Drosophila melanogaster: one gene and its partner. The protein of the gene in region 1 interacts with the protein of each later gene in a pairwise test. Each region holds a gene or a part of one and is shown in the gene's direction. Other genes may lie near its edges. The genes, in order: Pdp1 and BuGZ.

Region 1 (11,699 bases):
AAAAAAAAAAAACTATAAATAAATGAAGGCGAGCGCAACATTTTTTGGGCACAAAAAAGCAATTTGAATTCACGCTACCGAAAAAATGTTTTCACTCCAATTCTTTTAGCTTTGTGTTGACTTTTTTTTGGGTGGATGTTATTCATGCCTACTATTCTGTTAGTTTTCATACTAATTGTTCTTATTAACGAATTCATCAGACAATAAATTATTAATTACCGCATATATGGTGGATTTAATTTTATTGCCCTTAAGAAATGTATTAAAAGTACTGCAAATTCGGTTACTTATGTAAATAAGGTTACTCTTTATTCCCTTTCGTGTAATGTAAGATTTGAGAGATTATTTAATTTTTCGACCAACTGAATTATAATTAACTTTTGCATTTTTGACTAGAAACGATATAATATTTTATTCTAAACGTATTTTTTTAAATTTAAAATAAAGAAACAATAGTTCAACATTTACAGAGCTTTCAGCGACATTATTTTTAAATCATAAATGTACCTATTTGTTCCATTGTAAAGTAAAAGCTTAAGCGCCCTCTGTCGGCGGATTTCATGCAACTGAAACGGAAAGCTGGCCGAAGCTTTCGCTCTTTTCGTTGCGCCAGAGAGCGCATACCGTTTGTGTTTTTGTGTTTTGCTGAAGGCAGCTTGTCTGACAGCTTCCCCTGCCACCCACCACACACCACCCACCGCCTAACCATTTCCGCCCATCCGCCCCCTGCTAAAACATTGGAACTCATACACAGGCACAAGACCGTTTGGCTGAAACACGTGCGCATAGTCTTCCTGCTGAGATTCCTTTGGATATTGGTGATTAATTAGAATTTTTAACCACCTTAGCCTACGACAACAATCGAAATCGAAATCAAATTTCCGTGTTTGCTGACGTTCTCATTGCTTTTTGTTTTGCTGCCTTAACCGCCCCCTTTTTTGCCAGCGAGGTCACATGTTTCGCCAGGCGACGACGTCAGCTGCGTGTGCTATTTCTTCACTTCACTACTTGGGCTACTCGAATTTCCAGTCCAAAGTGCTGGGTGATAAGGCCAAAAGAAGGGGGGGGGGGAGGGTAATTCCTACCCTTCCCGATTGGCCGTACTTTAATTACGTAAATTAATTTCCGACTGCTGAACTTTAACATCGCACCTGATTGCGTCGCTGAAAAGTGTCTGCTTGTTGATATGAAATTTATGTTTATTGTCTGGTCAGCGGCCAGCGGCAAACCAACCTGTTGGCCAAGTTTCTCACTGATAAGCCGCCCGCAATATAATTTTTATTTTCCGTTAACTTGTTCTATAAAACCGTAAAAAAAAACATGGACATGGCGCATGTTTGGTATTAACATTTTCGGCCAATGAATGAAAAACTTTAGATAAAAACTACGGAGATTGGATTATCGAGTGTGGCGTGTTTGAGACCTTGAAGAGTTGATATCTGTGGAGTCACAAAATATATACATAAAAAATGATAAAACAATCAAATTTTATATTTAACAGATTCATCTATACTTAAGGGTATTGTTTCACTTTAATTAATTTTAAGTGGCCTTTTAATTACTCACACAGTTTTTAATTATACAAATGAAGTATTATATGTTTTTAATTGTTTTTGAGCCAAAGTTCACGAAACGGTGTATATTATATTATAGTGAATTTCAGTCGTTTATTAATATTGATTTATGTCTAAGTTAGTCCGTCTAACTAACAATATTTATATATATTTTACCCTTAAAAGTAAATGTAGCTGCACTATCTGGGTCAATTGGTTGCAGGCTTTTAATAACCCAGTCGTGCTATCGTAAAAACGTTTACACATTTCAACATTTCTAAATAATTATTTAGCAAAATGTTAATTTACGACCTGCTGCAGCAAACACGTGTATAATGACTCCAACGTCGCCATGCCAGACTCGTAAACCCCGCTCTCCAACGGATCCATTATAATAATACCTCTATATGGAACCAGAACCCAGACGGTTTCCATGCAAACACGCCAAATCACAGTGTGTTTAATGAAGGTTTGATTTGCTGCCTGTGTGTGTTAGTGCCTCAATTTGCAACGACATATGCTCAAAAAAATTCAAAAAAAATTTAGGTATTTTCAAGTACCAAGAATGAATTATATATATCTATAAAAAAAATATTTTTTTTTCCTGAAAAAAGAGCAACAATTATTTTGTTTACTTTCCGATTGCTGCTCCGCTTCCGATATTTATTCTGCACAATTTGCTTTATTTGCACATCTATGCAGTCTGTGTTTTGCTTCTCCTACTTGTATTTTTTGTTCTTCGGATGCAAAATAAAGCCATGCTAGTGTGTGTGTGACTCATTGATTCGATGTGTGAATGTGTGTGCGATGCTTTAAATTGCTATTTATAAACCAGCAAGAGCTGTGTCTTCGACTCAGTTGGGTTTTGCTTAGCAATTTCTGGCGCTCTCTGAGGGCTCATTCATCCATCGTAGCGCCACGGCGTATCTATGTGAGTGCGCTGCACTGGTGTGTGTCGGTGTGTGTTTTTGATTGTACCAAGTGTGTGTGAGGCAGTAGCCCAATCACACAGATACACACACTGGCAAGGGGAGACCGCCGGTGCACGTGGTAGCGAAACGTGATAATACGAAATACAACAACTGACAACAAAACAAACAGAAAACCTGACAACGCCGCTGTCGCTGCCTCTGCTGTCGTCGCGGTCGACGTCGTTCTCTGTCCATGTCGACGTTGGCAGATTTTCCCGGATTGGTTCCCTATTCTCGGCTTCACTGGCATATAAGCCTGGCCAATAGCAAAGCTCTGCCGCACATCCTTCTGTTATTGGATCCCGAAGCAAACTTCGTTTTTTCCTTCGCTTCGGAGCTTCGGATGACTTGTTGCTTTCCAAAAATAGTCACTGGCTGCACGGGGCGTATACTCGATATTCCCAGAATTGACCCGCCTGGGTAAAACAGGTGACTGAAGTTCGCTCTACCACATGGTCCATGGTTATGCCAATTGATGGGTTTTCAGGGCTGACTGGGTTTCTCAAATGCAAAAAAAAAAGAGTTTTGTTTAACCGAAGAATAGCACAAGGCTGAAAAAAGGTGGGCGACTTAACAAGTTTAACAAGTAGAAAAATGGCGAGGATATTCTTGGAATTCTTTTGAATTGGTTTAACGAAAGATGGAACCTTACAAATTGAATAAGTCTTATATATTTTATTTATTTTATATATTTCTTTATTTATATATTTCTTAAATAATCCATGTAATTGTAATTCAGTTTATTTGCATTTTTATCAGAAATGTGTTTTTATATTTTATCTCAAATTGCTTACTGCTCTGATTCATAGTTATAAAATCTTCGATGATCATTGGGTAAGTATTGAGTGTATTATACAAAACTTCTAAGAAAATTTACCGGACCTATGCCAACAGAGAGCAATTATTATAATTATTTAAACTTGATTAAGCCCTCGAATAGTTTGAATACTTTTTGAAATTTCCAAGAAAAACGGCGACCTACGGCAATAGTTTAGCGCCTTCGATAGAATGCAGATTAAGTATACGCTCCGTTGCAGCTACTACGTCGTTTCATTGGGTTTTCGCCCAGAGTGTTAAGCACTCAGCTTCAGACCCCCCCCCCCCACCACTCTGCCCCATCGGATCTACTTACTGGGAATGACGCAGCGGTAATTAGTTGGTGGCACAGAGGCAATCCTTTGGAGCACATTACGCATACGTCACGTGTTGCAGACGCACCAGTGCCGAATTAACCGAATATTGGCACGGCAATTGGCCAATCGGCCACGCACTCCAGCTGATGTGTAAAGTCTAGTGGCCATAGGTACACCCGTTACAGGGGGACAGACATAGCGCTCTATTGCGAATCGACTGGAAACTTTTGAGTTGCATTCGTATCTCTATTTGTCACCCTATCGGTACGTGTATCTTTGAGTGCGCTTGTCGTTCAACGTGCACTCTCATTCTCTCTGTCGCTCTCTCTCAATTAATTTGCGTATGTGTGTGTGCCCGGTGTGTCCGCAACACGTGCTTAGAACTGTGCTAGACAGTGGGCTTTGGGTCATATTGAAATCCGCGTGACTTGGCCGCAGCAGCGCTCAGCGCCTCAGCGGGCGTCGCAGTTCCAGTCCCCCAAGTATATACAAATAACTACAGCTATGTCCAAGATAATAGCAATCATTTAAGAGCAAGAAAAAAATGTTTTAAAATAATAAATTTTGTTACTAGAATATTATAAGTAATGTTGAAATAACTGAGATAAAACAAAGTTGCTTTAAAAAAAAATATTATTAAGTTCTTGATAGATAATTAGATATAAGAAGATAACATAGGTTTAGTCCTAAGTGAATTATAATTTATAATAGATTTGATACTAAATCTGAGTCGAAGTACTCGTATATGAACACTGTTTAATATATACCAAGAACTGTACTAAAAATACCTATGGCACTTGAATTGATTAATATAGTAGTAATGCTAATCATTTTCCCAGTGCTGTATGTAAAAATATTTGTTGTACATGTACAAATATTTTGCGCTACCAACATTTGATAAAAAAAAGCCAGTTAAACAATTATCAAAGTAGGAGAGGGGTTACTGTTTTCGGACCTCCGCCCTTTACGTAAGCCGACTTACTTGCAGAAAATTGCAATTTTTAGCTGGCTGAGAGAGCGGTAGCGGCGACTGCGACGTCGACTGCAGCGACGACTGCAGCGGCGGCAGAGGAAAAGCAGAGACGGACATTGAGACCGAGAAAATTACTCGGCCGGCATTCTGTCGCATCGCGTTCTCATGTGAAAATCGTCGCAGCTCGTTCCGTGTTTTCGCCACTCGAGCGGGAAAATCAAAAAATATTTCTACGCTCAACAAAATAAATTAATTGAAATTGATTTTTCAAGCAACAGAAATAGTTCTAGAAGAACTATAAATCGAGGAAGTCATTTTTGTTTTATCAAATTTCAAGTGCAATGGGTTCATTGTGAAATCAATCTAAAGTGTGTGTGTGTGTGTCATTCGAATAATTACTATTATTAAAAAAGAAATAAATACGCAGAAAGAGAGAGAGAGATCGAACGAGGCAGAGTGAAAGAGAGAGATAGAGAAAAAAGCGAGAGATCCGGAGATCTCTCGAGAATCTTTAAACAACAGCGCTAAAGTTACGGATCTAATTTCAAACAGTTTAATTTACTTTTAATTTTTCTACAAAACAACAAACTTCAAAAAGAAAAATACGAACCAGCAAAACTCAAAGCAAAAAACGATCTCATATCCAAGCGCAGCAACAAATTCTGAGAATAAGAAAAGGTATTCAACAAAAGGCTGAAAGGAAGAAGAGTTATTCATCAATGAAAAGGATAATTCAATTGATTTGGAAAATAATAATTTATTTGTTTTGATTTATATATAGAAAATATTCCAAATTTACGTTGAAATAATGTTAAAAAAAAAAAAACATTGGAAGCCTTTGACTCGGTTGATTTGATATACAGTTTAATTGGCAAATAATTATTAGTTTGTCTCGTTTTAAAAGTGAAGCAAAAACAATAAATGACCGTGAATGTTTTGATTGCAAAAATTCCATAAAGAACACGGAAAGCCTTTGTACCTATTGATTCCACTTTAAGATTTCTATAGCGTCACAAAAATCTTATTATACAAAATTGATTGAACTAAAAGAAAGCGCAAACTATACAACTATACAATGCCTTTTCTTATTCCTTATCATCATGATCATCAATAAAAACTAATGGAAAACTAAATAAAAATCATACAAAAATAGACGAAAACAAAGTGCATTCCCTGACCACACGAAAACAAGCGCATTCATTATCAGTTGCTATCAAAATCGCTTCCCCATCATACTCAATACTCACTAATAAAACTGAAAAACTGAATCATTCCCAACATTTTTCACCCACCTATCACCTGTTCATTAGCAACAACGAATTGGCTATCAATTGACTGGCAAATAAAAAACCAGCAACATACCAAAGTGCTCAAACACTAATCTGGGTTTTTCAAAAACAAAAGCACAATATTTTTTTCAGATAACACAGACAAGCGTTTATGTTAAAAACAAAAAAACTAAAGTGAACCCAAGTGTAAAGACAATGCGCACAACTTTTGGCCGTGGCCCAAAGTTTATACTGCTGACCAGCAAATTTAATCACGTTCAGCACAAGGAGGTGATCACCTAGGATCATCAGAAAACAGTGATTAACCGTAACCAGTGAAGGATAACCCAGTGAATAACGTACCCAGTTGTTGAAACCAGTGATCATGTCGTCGGATACGAATTCGTGTACTAGTTTCTTTGCCCAGGAGCACGCGAATGCCACATTGTCGCAGTATTTCCAGCAGCTTAACTCGCACGTTGCTGCTGCAGCGGCGGGCAATAGCGGTGGCAACAGCAGCAGCAGCAACAACAACAACAGCAGCGGCAACAACAGCAGCAGCGGCAACAGCGACAGCGGAAATGATGGCAGCATGACAGGATCATCGGGAACCATGGACAACCATCGCAGCAGTGTTAGCAGCAATGATTCGGGCAAGAGTAGCGCCACAGGAGGCGGCGGGGCAGGTGCCACCAGCAACAATGGCGTGAATGCCTGGGCCTTGCAGCAGCAGCAACAAACCGCCGCCCTGCACCATCAGCAACAGCAGCAGCATCAACAGCAGCAGCAACACCAACAGCACCTACAGCAACACCATCAAGCGCACCATCAGCATGTCCTGCAGCAGCAGCAGCAGCAGCAACAGCAGCACTCCCAGCATCAGCATCAGCAGCAACATCACGGCCACCCGTTGCATCCGCATCATACACACCAGCAGCAACAACAACAACAACAGCAGCAGCAGCCGCCGCCGCAACACCACCAGCAGCAGCAACAGCAGCACGCACAGCAGCAGCAGCAGCAGCATCATGCCGCCCAGCTGGCACATACACTGTCATCGGCCGCCGTTGCTGCTGCAGCCGGGAATACCGGTGGCAACACCAACCCCCACTCCATTTTCGGCACCGGCAACTTCCACTACAAGACGAACAACTCGTGGACGCTGCCCACGCTAACGTACCAGAGGATTTACCAGGAGAATCCCCATTACCAGCGCAACTCCTTCATGGATCCGCAGAGTAATGCCGCTGCAGCTGCAGCAGCTGCTGCTGCCAGTTGCAATGCTGCCGCTGTTGCGGCAGCCGCTGCAGTTGCAAGTGGCAACCAGGGATCGAATGGGAATGCCAGTGGCAATGGTAATGCTGTTGTGGCGGCAACTGGTAATGGAAATGGTGGAAATCCCGGCCAGAATAACAACAACAATAACGGCAACAATAGTGGCAATAGCAACAATAACAGCAACAACAATGTGTCCTCCGTGCAACATGTGGCAAATGCCGTCGCAGCGGCAGTGATCGCCAATGAGCATCACAACCATTTGAACAGCTTGAAAGCGCGATTTCAGCCAGCCAGCTCAGGTGAGGTGAAAAACTTGAGGAAAAAAGGGGGGGAAATTGTTGGAAAATATATATTGGATATATAGTAATGACCTTAAATGGTTTGTTAACTATAGAAAAATGGAAAAGTGCTACTTAACAGCTGTACTGTGCATTCGTATATATATATAAACTTATGTATATATCTTTCTACCGCTTAGATACTTCAACTTTTCTTGGTTGTCTTAAACATTAGTTGTATACAGTACTCTGAATAACTAAATTGTTTTGAGAACACAAAAAGCACACTTAAAGGGAGAAAAACCAAAAACAACTGATAAAGTGTATGACTAGTTCTGAGGATTTCCATTCTATATTCGCCCAGGCTGCATTAGAAAATGAGTGTTCGTTCCGTTGGGAAGTCTGGATATATATACTCTTACATACATATGTATGTATGTGCATGGTAACCCAGTGCGATATGTCTGTAGAACCTCTATCTGCATCCCGGCCACTGGGACTGATATCATCCGACGTCAGCGGCCGAGAACTTTGCGCATTGCGAGCTTGTAAAGCGCAAAAGTCAAGAAAGCTTGCCGCGCACACGTGAGCTCAGCTGAACTATATAGTATAGTTTATATGCATATAGTAATGTAGCCCGTATATACAATACTCACTGACGTCGCCGACGGTTCGAATTGAATAGGAAATGGAATTCAAAATGTAGATACATTTGCAAATGTATCTTTGCAACGAGGAATCGCCAAGTATATTGGCTCGCTGCCTACCACAAGGGTTATTTCATTATTTTCACCAATTTTCTTCGTGTTATAGATAAACAATTATATTACTTATTTTTCGACCTACGCCAAATTGCGTTGCCAGTGAATTAACTAAATTTAGTTGGTATATAGCAGAGTATTGTTTACAAAAACACCTATATCTTATCAGTTGATGACTCTCTTAGTAGCTGGCCCATAGGAATTCTCATTATGCATGGCAATTAGAACTGGAAAATTACTTTATATGCCGTTAAATTTTCCATTTAATAATCATGAAAACGATCCACATGGCTGGCATTTAGTTGGCTGGCCTAAAAGGGTTTCAATTCAACCAGTTTTGTGTGTGTGTTTTTTTTGGCACATCCTTTCACCTTTTTTGATCTACTTTGTCAATGCATTTGGCACAAATCCTTTCAAAAATCGCGGCTTAGCTGCCACCAATTTTCATGGGTTTTTCCGTTTTCCTTTTTTTTTTAACTGACCTCAGTTGGTCAACGTTGGGGAAATACATTTGGTTTGATTAGATTTCGGAATTAGGCTGATGAGATTTTTATGGCTGACGATATGGAAATGCATATGGCAAATGAGATGTGGGTGTTCTATCATCTCTCCCTCTAGATTGTTTGTTGTATTTCGCTGGGGTTGGTGCAAATTTCGCTATTGAATATACCGAAAATTACCTTTTAAGGCAGCATGTATAATAATTTGTATGAATTTCGTTTTAATGTGTGGGAAGAGTGGGGAAAGCTAAAATGGATAAATGTCAGTTGGCTCTGTGGGTGGTCACCCCTTTACCCCATGCATGGGAAATTTCCGACACCCTTGACAATACCAAATATCTACGTACTATTATAAAAATGCAATTTTGCTTTTTTTTTCCTTATTGTTGAAAAAACATTGTTCTAATTCAATTTTCACTCTCTTTTATTTACAGGTAAGCATCGAAACTCAATATTATCGACTTTTTTGTGAGTACAAGTAATTTTGTGGTTTGCTAAAACTGTTAATGGTAAGCTTTTGTCTTGTTTCATTTACTAACAATCATTATCTAAAGGGGATATTAGAATGAAGAAAAAAAAACCTTAAAACTCAAAAGTTATTTTGATCTTCTTTTCAAAAATATCCAACTCGAGCTTAGAAAATATCACTCAATTAGAAGAGCGCAAAGCTTTTTTGTGACTGACTCAAAACAAAGCTGCTGCTTTCGTGGGCAGCGGAAAATCTGCTTCCGCATGACGTCGGCATCGGCAGCGCAGCTCCCGCCAAGCGTGGCGGCAGCGACGTCGACGTCGGCGAACTTTGCCAGGCGGCACGAAAGAAAGTAAACAGGCGGAATGCGCAAAAAAATCAAGCGAATGCGGAGAAAGAGAGTGAGAGAGAGTGGGGAAGAGCAAGACGGGACGAGTGAGCTTTCAGGCTTTCGGTTTCAAGTTTGGCTTTTATTTTGTTTTTTTTTTGTTTTTTGTATTTCGCTGCTGCTTCCCTAGCTTTTCACTCTGTTTCTCTGGCTTTTTTCCCACTTCGCCGCTTCTCAGCATTTCTCTGCTGCTCTGCTCCTCTGCTTCTCTGCTCAGCAGCGAAGCTGCGTTTCATCGCATTGGCGACGCGCGCGTTCACTCGACGTTCGCAGTCCGGCGGCACCGGTTCGGTTGACGGCTCTCTACCAAAAAACCAAAAACCTAAAACAACATAAAAACCAAATCACATAAATATATAGCCAACTATCAAATTCCGAAAACTCAGAAATCCCCACTCACCACCAATACGAAAAGCCGCCGAAAAGCGAAAAAAAAGAAAAAGCCATAAAATAATACGTATACGACGCGTGTCTTCGTTTTTAGCGCGGCGCTTTCGAATTCGTGCGAACTTGTGAACTTTCGTTTCCTTCATCCAATTCCGAATTCCAATCACCCAAGCTTTTCGATTGGCAAGGATCGATCCTCTAGGAGCAGCCCCATCTTGGATTAAAATGTATTGTGCAGTGCTCGAAATTTGTTGATCTCCCGAATATAAGAAATTTGCGATCAAAAGATCGTTAAGTGAAATTCCTGAAAGGAATATACAAGTTTATGTATAACACATAGATATATCGAATATATAAAATTTTATATTTGGAATAAACCAAAGGTGTTTATAAGTTTGCAAACAAGAAATTAGTAAAATAAAATACTACAATATATTTTGTAAATTATTATGATCTTGCTTGAAGTTTAATTTAAAAGTATAAAGTTTACTTAAAATTAATTAGCTTAGAATAAATTTAAAACCAACGAATTCTAAATAAAAAAATCTGTAATCATTACGATACTCATATTTTAAGATCATAAAATTTACAAAATAAATTTAAAACAATTTGTAGTAGTTATCGAAACTGTCAACAACCAACATCAAATAAAAAAAAGGAGGAAAAAACCAAACATTCGCTGACAAACAAAAATTAATTCTGCAATAAAAATTCGCGTCGAATCACAGAAAAAAAAAGATCGACGATCAGTCTGAAAAATAGCAAAAACGCATAGCGAAAACATTTTGCTGGGTGTTTATTTTGCCTTTTTTTCTACTGCCGCTTCAAGGTCAAACTTTTCTCATTCAAAAGCGGTGGGCAGCGAGAACTGAACCCCTTAACAAACGGGCCCAGCCCCACACAGCGATAAAAAAATACAAAAAAAAAAAAAATTAAATAAAACAACACTCAGTACACGGAATAGTTGACAACGAATAATAATAGAAAAAGGCAAACAAAACAAACAATAGCAAAATTGCGAGCGCAAAAAAAGGCAAAAAAAAAAAAACAGAGCCAAAGCACTCGCCTCAAATTCTGAGTAGCAAAGTGAGCTCGCTCTCTGTTTTTGATGTTGTTGCTGCGCTGATCGCAACAGCAGCAGCAACGTGCTATAAAAGCTTTTATTCGGTTCTAAATTCCAATTTGTTGTTAATTAAGCCAACCGCCAGTGCAGTAGCAGCAGCAACATGTTTGTGCCACACATGGCCAGCTAAGTGGATACATGCAGTAAATAACATTGAATTGAGCCGGGAGTGAAACCAATTGTGATCTCAGCAATGAGAATGGACTATCAAATGCCACCGCCAGCATTGGCGCTACAGCAGCAGCAGCAACATGGCATGCAGCATCAGCAACAGCAGCTGCAACTGCTGCAGAATGTGCAACAGCAGCAGCAACAGCAACAGCAGCAGCAGCAGCAACACCAGCAGCAACAGTTGCTCGGCAACATGTCGCAGACGGCAGCCTTGCCACCGCTGAGCAGCTTGCCACTGCAAGTGGTGCACAATCTGCCGCATTTGTTGGCCGGCAACAGTGGCGGCAACACGGGCAACAATCCCAACACCAGCAACTCGAATCTCAATGTGGCGTGCAACAACAATCTGCTGCGCGGCAACATGCAACACCAGCAGCAGCAACAGCAACTTCTCAACAATCTGAGCAATGGAAACAATGTGGCAAGTGGAACGCTGCCGCCACCCA
Region 2 (11,699 bases), on another chromosome or scaffold:
TGTTCTAGATCGTCACATACCAGTGTGTTCCGTAGGGCGAAATAGAAAGCGGTTCGTACGCGGTCATCTTCAACCTTAACCAGATCGTACAAACGAGGAACGTTTTCTGGTCTGCAATAGTACGTGAATGGTGTTAATAACCATTTCCATTCATTCTGTTACTATTACTTACGTATTTATCCTGGAGTTGGCCTCACGACGATGGTGCTCAATCTTGTCCAACGTAATAAAGGTGGCTCTGCCCACGTTGTACTCCTTTAAAGCGCCAATGGCCGCCGATGCGGTCTCATAGTTGTCCGTAACAATGTTGTCCAACCGCCCGCAGGCAGTCGAAATAGCAATGTCGTACTTGGCATCTATGCCACCCAAATCACCCAGGCGTCCTAGAATACCAGGGATCTTTCCCTCCATCTTCATACGCATGAGGAAGTCTAGGACCTTGTTATTGGATCGCTGAGCCTGCATGACGCTAGATCTTTCATTGATCTGCCGGAAAAGGTATTTATAAATAGAAGAACAGTATAGAATGTAAATAAATGAACCATACCTCTGTTCTTAGTTTGTTGCACTGCATGGATAGGTTGCGTTCCTCTTTAACCATTTTGTCCACTTCCGCGGACTTGCTGGCAATTTCGGTCTTCATCCGTGGAATGCTTTCTTTCAGCTCGTCCACCCTTGTTACTTTCTCCTCCAGACTTTTCTGCGACTGCTCGTACGAACTTTTTAGGGTTTCATATTTCCTAGACTCAGTGGTCTCTGCCTGTTTAAGGATCTTGAGCTGCGACTCGAACACTTGAACCTCTCCTTTAGCCGTGTTGACCTTCTCCTTAAGGCCCACCAGTTCGTCACTGAGCTTAAGGCGCTTCTCGGTAAGCGGTGCAGTGGTTTTAGTTAACTCGGCCTGCTGCTTTTCAAGCTCCTCATTCAGTGTCACCTTACTTACTTCCAGGCTCTCCAATTTCTTGTTGCAATCCTCGATCTCGCGCTGATTTTTCTCCGGCAACTTGTGCAGATCCTCCAGCTCTTTTTCGTTCTTTTCTATCTGGGCTTTGTCCTTCTTGCGCTGCTTGTTCGTGTTCTCCATTGTGCTCTGGATCTCTGTGTAGGCACTCTCAACAGTCACAAGTCTTTTCTTGATCTGTTCGCGCTTTTTCACTAGAGCTTCGTATTCTCTGAAATTACGTAATGTAATGTAATATATAGCTCAGTTTGAAGTTGAAGCTAGGTACTTACTCAATTTCCTTTCGGATGATTGTTTCCTTTTCGGCTCGTGATTGTTTCAGGGCAGCAGTGCCCTCGTCGTGGGTTTTTAGCTCTTCCGCACAGGCTTCATGCTCCTGGGTGTACTGCTCCAGCTTGCTCTTTTTGATGCTGATGATCTTTTGGATGTGGAAGGATTTGGTGCGCACCAGCTCATTCTCCTTCTTCAGATAGTCGACGGCCTCATTGAACGGTTGCTCCAGATCTTTCATCTCGCGCTCGGCCAGCTTGCAGCGGTTGTGCTTCTCTGTTCGGTCGTCTGTGAGTTGATCTACCCGTTGGTTTATCTGCTGCAGTGGGCGAATGTAGCGCTGTGTTCCGACAATATCCTCCAGGTATTCCAACATTCCAGTTTCATTTTCAGTCTGCCCTTTTGGCTTCATCATGGCAATGGACTCCACTTCGCCCTGCAGAATGAGGAAGCGATTGTGCTCCAGATCCACATGATGCTTCTTAAGCAGCTTAGCCACATCCTTGAGCTGCGCCCGTTTGTCGTTGATCTGGTAGTAGGAAGAGTTGTCCGACATGGCAGTGCGTTCGATAACAATGCTGGAGTCGGGCACGTCCTCGCATGTGCCGTCGCCCTTGTCTACGATCTGCTTGAAGTGGACGGCGACCGAGCAGCTGCGTAAATTGGGATAACTAGACGAGGAGTGGATCAAGGTGGAGACACGCTTGCAACGGATGCGATTGGCGCGGCAACCAAACACAAACATCATGGAGTCGATAACGTTGCTCTTGCCACTGCCATTGGGTCCAATGATGGCAGTGAAGCTCTGGTGGAAGGGACCCAATTCCACTTCGCCCGCATAGCTCTTGAAATTCCGATTTACAATTTTCGAGATGATCAGGCGCGGTCCGGTGCTCTCCATGGAGCAATGTGGCGGCACCGGAGGCGGTATGTATATGTCGCCGATCCGGGTGCCGCCCTCCTCGTCGTCGAAGATCAGTGCATCATCCAGCGCGTCCACGGCGGCGTCCTCCTCCTCCTGTTGTTGCTGCGCCCGCAATTGTTGCTGAGCAGTTAGCTGCGGTACGCGAAACTGGCCGCTCTGCCGGGCTCCGCCAGCTGCCTTGGGCGTGCCCTTGCTGGGACGCGCCTTCTGCATCGTGCGCTATTCTCAGTAAATTCTCCGTGTGGATTTATCCAGGAAAAATCCTCGAATTACAAAATCGCTTTTTCGGGCGCCAATGGTAATAGGACGCTATCAGCAGTGTGACCGTCTTGATGTGCCCGCAAAATACTGGCAAGGCCGTTAAATAAATCAGGCGAGTTGTCAGCTCTGTAGTTTGAATTTAAATTAAAAGTCGTTACATCGACGCTAAGAACAAATTTCAAATATTCTAAAACATATATGAAACTGATATTTGTAAATATAATATGAAATATTATTAATTAAATCACAATAAAACTCAACTAAGTAGTTTTTTCGATGAAGTTAGCAAAATAATGAAATACATTTATTTCATCGTAAAGTAAATGAATTTCATAATAAGCAAGCAAACTACTTAATTTCCAAAAAAGCCGTGTAATAGTTTGGAAATTATGAATAACTCAGCGCGCTCTGCGCTCCCCAAAAACATAAGCGAGACACCCACTGCGCGGAGCTTTCTCTCCGCTATCCGCAAGTCAGAGAAATGCCCAAATATATATAATGCCTTGGCTGCATCTCGCACGACTTTAGTCACAACTCGACTTTGGCTCGGTGCGGAACCATTTTCACTGGCGGTTTTTCCTTCGGTTTTCCGATCGCGCGCAAGATTAAAGCGCTCAAAGCAAGCAGCCAAACACAAACGCGAGTGGCAAAGTGGAAAGCAGGCTGAAAAATGCTCTGCCCGGGGGAAAATGCCTATAATGCAAATGGCCAAACGGGTTTCACAGTCAAGGTCGTCGCTTCCGCCCAGCGACGCTCGAAGCCACAACCAACAGCGCGAATTCCCAACGCCCACCGCTTACCCAGTTTGTGCATCTGGATGATGGTGGCGCTTATGATTATGTCGTCGTCGCTGGACGCCCTGGTCATTGGTAATTTTCTCCCCTTTTGTTCGCTTTTCGATTGGGTACGACTGAATTTATTTAGTTTTTGGCATGCTCATGCGCGCATGCGCACATTGGGTGTGAAAGTTGTCGATCGAATCGAAGGAGTTATATAACACGAAACGACCAGCCAAGTGGGGCCAAGTCGGGTTGTCCACATGCCCGCACCCGTCCCCAAAAAACAAAACAAAAAAAAAAAAAAACTAAAAAGAGCGTGTGCATTGAACCCCATGACAGTTGCTGAAATTTTCCTGACCCGCTGCCTTGGCCTCTCTGGCCGGCGGAGATGATAAATTTACTTTCTAAATGCTGCAAATGCCCAGCTGCCCCAGCTAGACATTCAGCTAGAGCTGCAGATTGAGATTCAGATGGAGATCGAGATGGAGATGGAGATATACACACACGGACTGTCAGTCAGTCGGTCTATCTACTATAGTCACACATATGTATGCACATATCTCCAATCTTGAGATCGCATCTTGCATTTGGCCAACACGCGTCGCTTGCCCAACCGCCTGAGTTACGATATGGTGCGGCACGGCTACGGGCCATTGCTGCCGATCCATGATGCAAACGCATTTCAACCCGTCCGCCGCAATGTGGCACATGGCTGGGACGCATTTCCAAGTGGGTGGAGCTGGCGTTAGTTTCAGAAAGACCTATTACACAAGTGATTTGAAAAAGTTCAACAATTTACTATACTTATCTCAAAGGTGCTCCATAGTTTACACTCAATTCTAGCAATATTTATCCAATATTTTCAATATTCATAATCATTTCCAAGTTTGCCAGTGCATATAAATTGGAAAAATATTTTTAAATGGCAAGTCAACATAATTTTGAGTGCTAGTTTAGTGCCAGCTGTACTTCGTGACTAGTTGTCTTACTATTGTTTCCATCACGTTTAAATCACGGCGGAAGATCATCTAAGATCACATTATGGTTAATATAATGTTAATTGAGGCCTCGAGCCAATCAAAAAGGTCATCGAAGTCCAACGGTCCTCGGAATTCAGGCACTTCTAAGCGAGCAAGTGGCCTACACACATTCATATATACATATATTTCCTTGAAGTTTGTCCAACTTTTCGTTTCAATTGAAGTAGCGACGTGGGTTTTTTTTTTGTTTTTTGTCGTCTTGCTCCGTAATAGTTGACTACTATTGGCAACTATGCGCACCACCCATTTCAGTGCGTGATTGGTATCCAGCTGGAAAAAAGCAAAAATATTTCTGCAAGCGGCTAATTTTGGGCTGACGTGAGCGGTTTCGTTTTTGGGTCAATGCATTAATCAGTAATCAGTCTCCTTGTTAATTACACACGGCTATCTCACACCCAGTTTCTTTTTTTGTGTGCCTGCTTTGCAGACAATGATGGAATAGTCGGCAACCAAACTCGGCATCGTCGCTCGACCTCCGGCGCAGCCAGTTGCATGCAAGATGCACGCTTCTACCGCAACCCCAACAGGCCGGTCCACAAGATCTGGACGAACAGCGAGTGCGCCAAGTATTTCCTCTGCCTCGACGGTGAGGTGTTCGAATTCAAGTGCTCCGAGGGATTGCTCTTCGATGTGGTGCGTCAGATCTGCGACTTCAAGGCGAATGTGGACAATTGCGATGTCAGCGCGGAGACGCCGGCTCCAAAACCACTACTGGAGATGGCCGACTGTGCGGATGAATACCAGTTGGGCTGCGCCGATGGTACCTGCCTGCCGCAGGAGTACTTCTGCGATGGTTCGGTAGACTGTCCCGACGGCTCCGACGAAGGCTGGTGCGATGTGGAGCACGATCCGAATGCGGCTGGTGCCTGTGATCCGCGAAAGTGCCATTTGCCGCAGTGCTTCTGCTCGAAGGATGGCACCCAGATACCCGGCAGTCTTCCGGCACAGAGTGTTCCGCAGATGATACTGTTGACCTTCGACGATGCCATCAATCACGATAACTGGGAGCTGTTCTCCAAGGTTTTGTTCACACAGCACAGGCGAAACCCCAACGGGTGTCCCATTAAGGGCACATTCTACGTTTCACATCCGTTTACCAACTATCAGTATGTGCAGAAGCTTTGGAACGATGGTCACGAGATCGCAGTGCACTCAGTAACGTAAGTTGTTGATCAGCCTGTAAATTATTTAAAATTGAAATTTCACTTTTATTGATTAAAGGCATCGTGGCCCAGAGATGTGGTGGTCCAAGAATGCCACAATTGAGGATTGGTTCGATGAGATGGTTGGCCAGGCGAATATAATCAATAAGTTCGCAGCGGTACGAATGGAGGAGATTCGTGGCATGAGAGTACCCTTTCTGCGCGTCGGCTGGAATCGACAGTTTCTCATGATGAAGGAGTTTGGCTTCGTGTACGATTCATCCATGGTTGCGCCGCATTCGAATCCTCCTCTGTGGCCCTACACCTTGGACTACAAGATGCCGCACAGCTGCACGGGCGTAAATCAGAATTGCCCGTCTAGGAGTTATCCGGGCATTTGGGAGCTGGTTATGAACCAACTGGAAGTGGGCGAGTATATGTGCGGCATGGTGGACACGTGTCCGCCGCATTTGAGCGGCGAGGATGTGTACAGAATGCTCACGCACAACTTCAAGAGGCACTACCTCAGCAATAGGGCACCATTTGGCCTGTATTTCCATTCGACTTGGTTCAAGAAAGTCGACTATCTGAATGCATTTCTGGTGAATATTCGAATTGTTACCCATAATACTAGATCTTCATTCCTTCCTGATCATTTAGAAATTCCTCGACGATCTGCAAAAGCTGCCGGATGTGTTCTTCGTGACTAACCAGCAGGCGATTCAGTGGATGCGCCATCCCACGCCCAGCAACCAGCTGCACCAATTCGAGTCCTGGCACTGCCAACCGAAGGACTTGGATCCCCACGAGCAGGTCTGCAACACGCCGAATGTGTGCAAGGTGCGTAGTCGGGTGCTGCAAGAGGATCGATTCTTCTACACTTGCATGGAGTGTCCTGCCCAGTATCCCTGGATTCGCAACGAGTTCGGCTTGGACTAAGGTGATAGCCCGCTTGACACTATAGGGCTCTGCGCAAGGCGCTTTGATATATCCATAATGTTTGGAGCGTTCCATAAGTAATTGGATAAGATTGATACAATTTTAGGTTTTAATTGTTTAGAAAAATTAATATTTATAAATTGGATTACGCATATTTAGATGATTCAGCTTTCAAAATCTGACCGTAAGCAAACCCGTAGATAACTTCGTAACATACCTGAAGAGGATAAAGTGCATTAATTTAAAATCGGAACACTCTGAATTTTATGGAGAAGCTTAAACAATTTCGCGGGCTCATAAACGTGGTACTTTGCGGCCTGATTAGATTTTAAGAACTAATTTATACGTATGTATGTCTCCGCTAAATATATTTAAACCGATTTCCAAAAGAGCTTTGTACTTAGTCTACATTCTGGAACGCATCCCAGCCACAAAACCTTGGACTATTGCGTTATAAACGGATTGGCGATGCTCTCGACTCCGTCTTGCGGACAAATGAGGACGAGGGCTGTGCCGCGACAGACGACCAGTCCCAGGCTGCGGGTCTGCTCCTCGGTCAGTTTGTAGGGCTCATCCGAGTCGCGCAGATACTCCACCGTGTTGTCCAGCACCAGATTGAGCAGCGCATCGTAGCCCTTGAGGATTCCGGATGCCTCGCGGCCGCCCGCGAATTTCACGCGGATCTGTTTCTCCAAGTACTTGGAGAGGTCCAGAATGGACTCCTTGCGGCGCTTCTCCTTACCGTCATTGTTGCCACCCACCTGACAAGTCACGATTTTGATGATTAAGCACCACAATGTAGTTATTCTATTTAATTTACCTTTTTATCTGCCATTATTCTGTTTTTGGTAAATGCCGGCTGGTAAAGAGTGACCAAAGCATATTTTTTTAGAAATACACCAAATAAGGCGCTACTAGCCAGCAGATGGCGCTGGTGAAGTAATCTTATGGGCCGCGCTTTTTGAGGTACATAATCGATAATAATGGAATAAACATATGTAAGAATTAATGTTATTTGAAAAATATGACAACAAAGTTCTCTTATTTCTACTGTCATCATTGTGAAATTATTTTCTTACCTTTTGCTATTGAGGCGAACATATCAATTTATTTGTATAATAATTATTATATTGGTTTAAGATATCGATAAGATTCATTTATTTGTATCGATATGCTGGTCACTCTGACTGGCTCTCCATTTTGTTTTCCACGACAGAGCAATTTTTAGTACAACAGATTGTTATCTTCTACCAATTACCGGATCGATTTTGTACATTTAAGTGTTTTAAAGCCACCTTAGGATCATGGGACGCAAGAAGAAGAAGGCCTCCAAACCCTGGTGCTGGTATCCTTTTCGCAAAACAAAGATATAAATATTTTTTCACTGCATGTGCCGCTCGCTGTATCTGCACATACACACACATTTATATAATGGTATTGGGTTGGGGGTAGATACACACACACATGTATATGCATACTGGCTACAACGCCGCATCCCCGTGAATTTTCCTTAACTCTTAACGCAAAAAACTAGGTACTGCAACCGTGAGTTCGATGACGAAAAGATCCTTGTGCAGCACCAGAAGGCCAAGCACTTCAAATGCCACATCTGCCACAAGAAGTTGTACACCGGACCCGGACTATCCATACACTGCATGCAGGTGCACAAGGAAACGGTGGACAAGGTCCCCAACTCGCTGCCCAATCGCTCAAATATTGAAGTCGAAATCTTTGGCATGGACGGCATTCCCGCCGAGGATCTCAGGGATCACGAACGTCAGAAGAATGGTGGCAAGTCTGATTCGGACGATGATGAACCGGTGGCCAAAAAGAAAGTAGAATGTAAGTGATCAGCAAACTGTATTGTATACAAAATCGCTATACAACATTCATTGCAGATGCCATGAGTGTACCGCCGCCTATGATGATGCCCCCGAACATGATGCCACCGCACATGCTGGGGCAGTACGGCATGGGCATGATGCAGCACATGCCGCCACTGCCTCCGTATCCAGTGCCCATGATGCCGCACATGATGCCTCCGCGTCCTTTGTTTCCAGCCGCCATGGCCACAACATCGGCGGCAGCTGCTGCGGCGGCGGCCCATCATCACCACGCCGCCGCCATGGCTCAACAAAAGCCAACATTTCCAGCGTACAGGTTAGCATCGTTAGGGGAAGACCATATAAGAATCCTTCCAATTTTTTTTTCTAAAGCTAGCAGTTAGACGTAGAGCCCTGTTAATAATCTTTTTTTTTTAAACGATTCGTATGTAAATTCAGTTTTGGGGGTATTTTAGGTGAAATACTTTCTACTCCAAATAATTGTTCACATTGGCACATTTTTAATGGTTTTCCCCTATTAAACATAGTTGTGAAGCAAGTCAAATGACTTATTATTAGGCTTAATCCTAAGAATTTGTTTTTAACTAACGTAAATCAATTATTTCTTCTTTTTGCTAAAGTAATGCTACCATAAGTGCTCCGCCTACCACCAATCATGCTGGTGGCGCATCCAGCGCACCACCAAGTGGTCCGCCAGATGCTCAGCAACACCAGCAGCGACCTCCAGCTCCACCGGCGGCAAGCGGAACTTCCGCTGCTGCTGTGACCACAAAGATTATGCATCCACAGGAGGACCTGAGTCTGGAAGAATTGCGCGCGCGCCAACCGAAAATACAAGCACGGTTGGCGGCCGCTTTGGCTTCACTGGCGAATCCACAAAGTCGCAAGAGTCCCAGCAACAATGGTGGCCCCTCTACGTCGATTCCCACCACTCCGCCGCCCCCGTCGCTGGCCGGGATCTCGCCCACGGGTAGCAATAGCAGCAGTGGCATGGCTAACTCGATTGTCGTCTCCGCAGCCATGTCGAAGGCCCAGGAAGTGAGTTCTTATCATAGTTATAGAAACCATAGTCAATATAAATAAACAGACCGTGACGGAAACGACTTCCACTGATTAACAGGAAATGACAAGCACAACGGACTGAAACGAGGACGTGTAAAAAAGACAATTTCCTCCAAAAAAAGAAAAATAATGAAAGAATAAATGTAATTGCACATAAAAAAACCTGACCCAATTTCGACTGCATTTTAAGAGAATGCATTCAGCATTCTAACAGAATTCCATTTTTCCAAACTGGACACTTTTATACATTTACTCTGCGCAGATCGCAAATTGCGACAGCGGAAGTTACGTTTAGACGACCACAGCGTACGAGAGCAAACAGATTACGAGAATCACACAATACGAAACAACATTAAAAAGAAAAGAAAACTTTTTTTAGCATATAGTATGATATATGTCTGTACAATTTTTAATTAAAAAAAATTAATGGCAACAAAACAAATGAAACGGCGGTTTTCAATTTAATTAATTTGATTTAAAACATTTTACCTCAACACATAGAGAACTCGATAGAAGGGAAAAGCAAGGTTTCGCATTGTCTTGGCCCTAAAAGTAATCTCCATCAATGTGATATGCCAACACATGTGCTAGTTTTGTATCTTAAAGGTAAAGCGGAAGCAGCTGAAATGCAATTCACATGCCCACTGATAAATAGTGAAATTCTTTATAGCGGGTGGGCTGATTTAATTGGATCATAGGGGCAGGTTTGAAGCCAGCTTGCTTAGTATGTTTTAGAAATCTATGTAGTCGGTTCCATACACGCTTAGGAAGCGTTTTTTACATCAAGCGCAGGCTAAAAACTCATTTTTAAATAGGGAATCTTAAATTAGATGATTACTTTAATTCTTGATATGATCTAGTAATTTTTGTTCGTCAATTTTTGTTACTTCAGCAGCTTACAATCTGCAATTCTATTTTTTCATTTGGGGTTCAGCCCCGTTTTTTTGAAACCCTTAAGCAAATTTTTTTGTTACCACGATAGGTACATAGAGACCTGACTCAGTCAGGATACATTTTTTTTGGGTTGACCCCGAAACTACACCCTCCCAGTGGCAAGTGAGATAAATTCAATCGATTCCAAACATTTTCTTACAGAACGCCGCTCTAGTTGCCGTGGCACAGGCGCAGGCACACGCACACGCACATGCTGCCCAGGTGCAGGCCCAAGCGCAAGCCCAGGCCGTGGTCCAAGCTCAGGTGCAAGCCGCGCATGTGGCACACGCTGTGGCAGCACAGCAGCAGGCAGTACAGCAGCAACAGGCGGCTCAGCAGCAACAGCAAGCCGCTGTGCAACAGCAGGCGGCGGTGCAGCAGCAGCAACAACAACAACAGGCGGCGGTGCAGCAGCAGCAGGCGGCGCAGCAGCAGGTCAAACAACTGGAGGAACTGAATCGGGCTGTGATGCTCCAGCGCTTTCAGGCTGCCCGACAGCCTGGGAATCCCGGTGCGGCAGCAGCGGCTGCGGCGGCCGCAGCCGTCGGCATGGTAAGTCTCTAATCATGCGGTGCTGCGTATGCCACGCGAGCAATCAAACCAAAGAATGAACTTGCCTTAACAATACCGAAATTCCGAAATTGCTGAGAATCTCAATCTGTAAAAGACCACAATACAAATACCGATCTTGTGTCCTAGAATGGTATCATAAAGCCAACGACAGCATTTTCGAGTGGGTTAACCCAATAAATAAAGCTTCGCCCTCATCATCATGGTTGGTCACCTATTAGCTAATGTTTACGCGATTAGTTGGGGGTTCTAAATTTACAATGATCCTATAGCGAGATAATCTATGGTTAACCGAAACGCACACTCATAAGACTAATCTGAAAATTTATGTTAAAACCGTCAACGGATACATTAAAAAAATGTGTGTATTTGTAAAAAAATATAACTTTTTTTTTTTAATTTTATAAAGGATTTAGTTTGTTAAAAAATTAAAATATTTAGGAGCTGATAGGAAAAAGAAATTTGCACTTCTTTAAAACAAATTAACGTTTTCATCAGTGTAAAAACAATCACTTGGCTAACTACAACCGCTTACCAACACTACCGCTTAAAGTTCCCTTTTCTTTTCGAACCCATTACTTTTGCCCAGCTTAGAAACAAGGAAGATCAACAGTCTCAACTACGTCTTTACGCCATATGTATAAATCTAAAAACCCTATTAAGCTTGTAAACTGGAAAAATATGTTAAAGTTACCGTTACAATTGCAGTACAGAGCAGAAGTTCAGTGTTGATAAACGATAAGTGTTGCAAAAGTGTTGCGCAGGGTCCAAAAAGAGTTACAGTATGTATGGTTTTTGTACAAGCAAGTTTATCTCTTCCCCCAAAACCCAACCTAATCACTCCCTCAATAAAACTCACACCCCGCAAAATGATATGTGATATACAAAGTGCGCAATGCAACCAGATAAGTAAAAGCCAAAAACTCCATTATAATCTTACTTAGTCGTACTTATGCAAGTAATTATGTAGTCT

The links.
Region 2: the proteins of Pdp1 (region 1) and BuGZ interact in a two-hybrid assay, tested with the Drosophila melanogaster proteins (one large-scale study listed by BioGRID).

The regions. Positions count from the first base shown.
Region 1 is NT_037436.4:7,826,163-7,837,861, reverse strand, and holds the start of Pdp1 (PAR-domain protein 1), read left to right. Parts: upstream 1-4,788; 5' UTR 4,789-5,308; intron 5,309-6,034; 5' UTR 6,035-6,283; coding exon 6,284-7,475; intron 7,476-9,843; exon of another isoform or gene 9,844-10,186; intron 10,187-10,574; exon of another isoform or gene 10,575-11,275; coding exon of another isoform or gene 11,276-11,699.
Region 2 is NT_033779.5:16,735,909-16,747,607, forward strand, and holds the start of BuGZ (Bub3 interacting GLEBS and zinc finger domain protein), read left to right. Parts: upstream 1-7,496; 5' UTR 7,497-7,621; coding exon 7,622-7,656; coding exon of another isoform or gene 7,657-7,662; intron 7,663-7,851; coding exon 7,852-8,159; intron 8,160-8,215; coding exon 8,216-8,477; intron 8,478-8,781; coding exon 8,782-9,199; coding exon of another isoform or gene 9,200-9,244; exon of another isoform or gene 9,245-9,657; intron 9,658-10,318; coding exon 10,319-10,708; coding exon of another isoform or gene 10,709-10,720; exon of another isoform or gene 10,721-11,699. Other genes in the region: glu (gluon), read right to left, coding at 1-111, 173-486, 548-1,172, 1,234-2,369; ChLD3 (chitin and LDLR binding deacetylase 3), read left to right, coding at 3,088-3,286, 4,664-5,396, 5,458-5,980, 6,039-6,317; LSm7 (uncharacterized protein), read right to left, coding at 6,761-7,078, 7,138-7,152.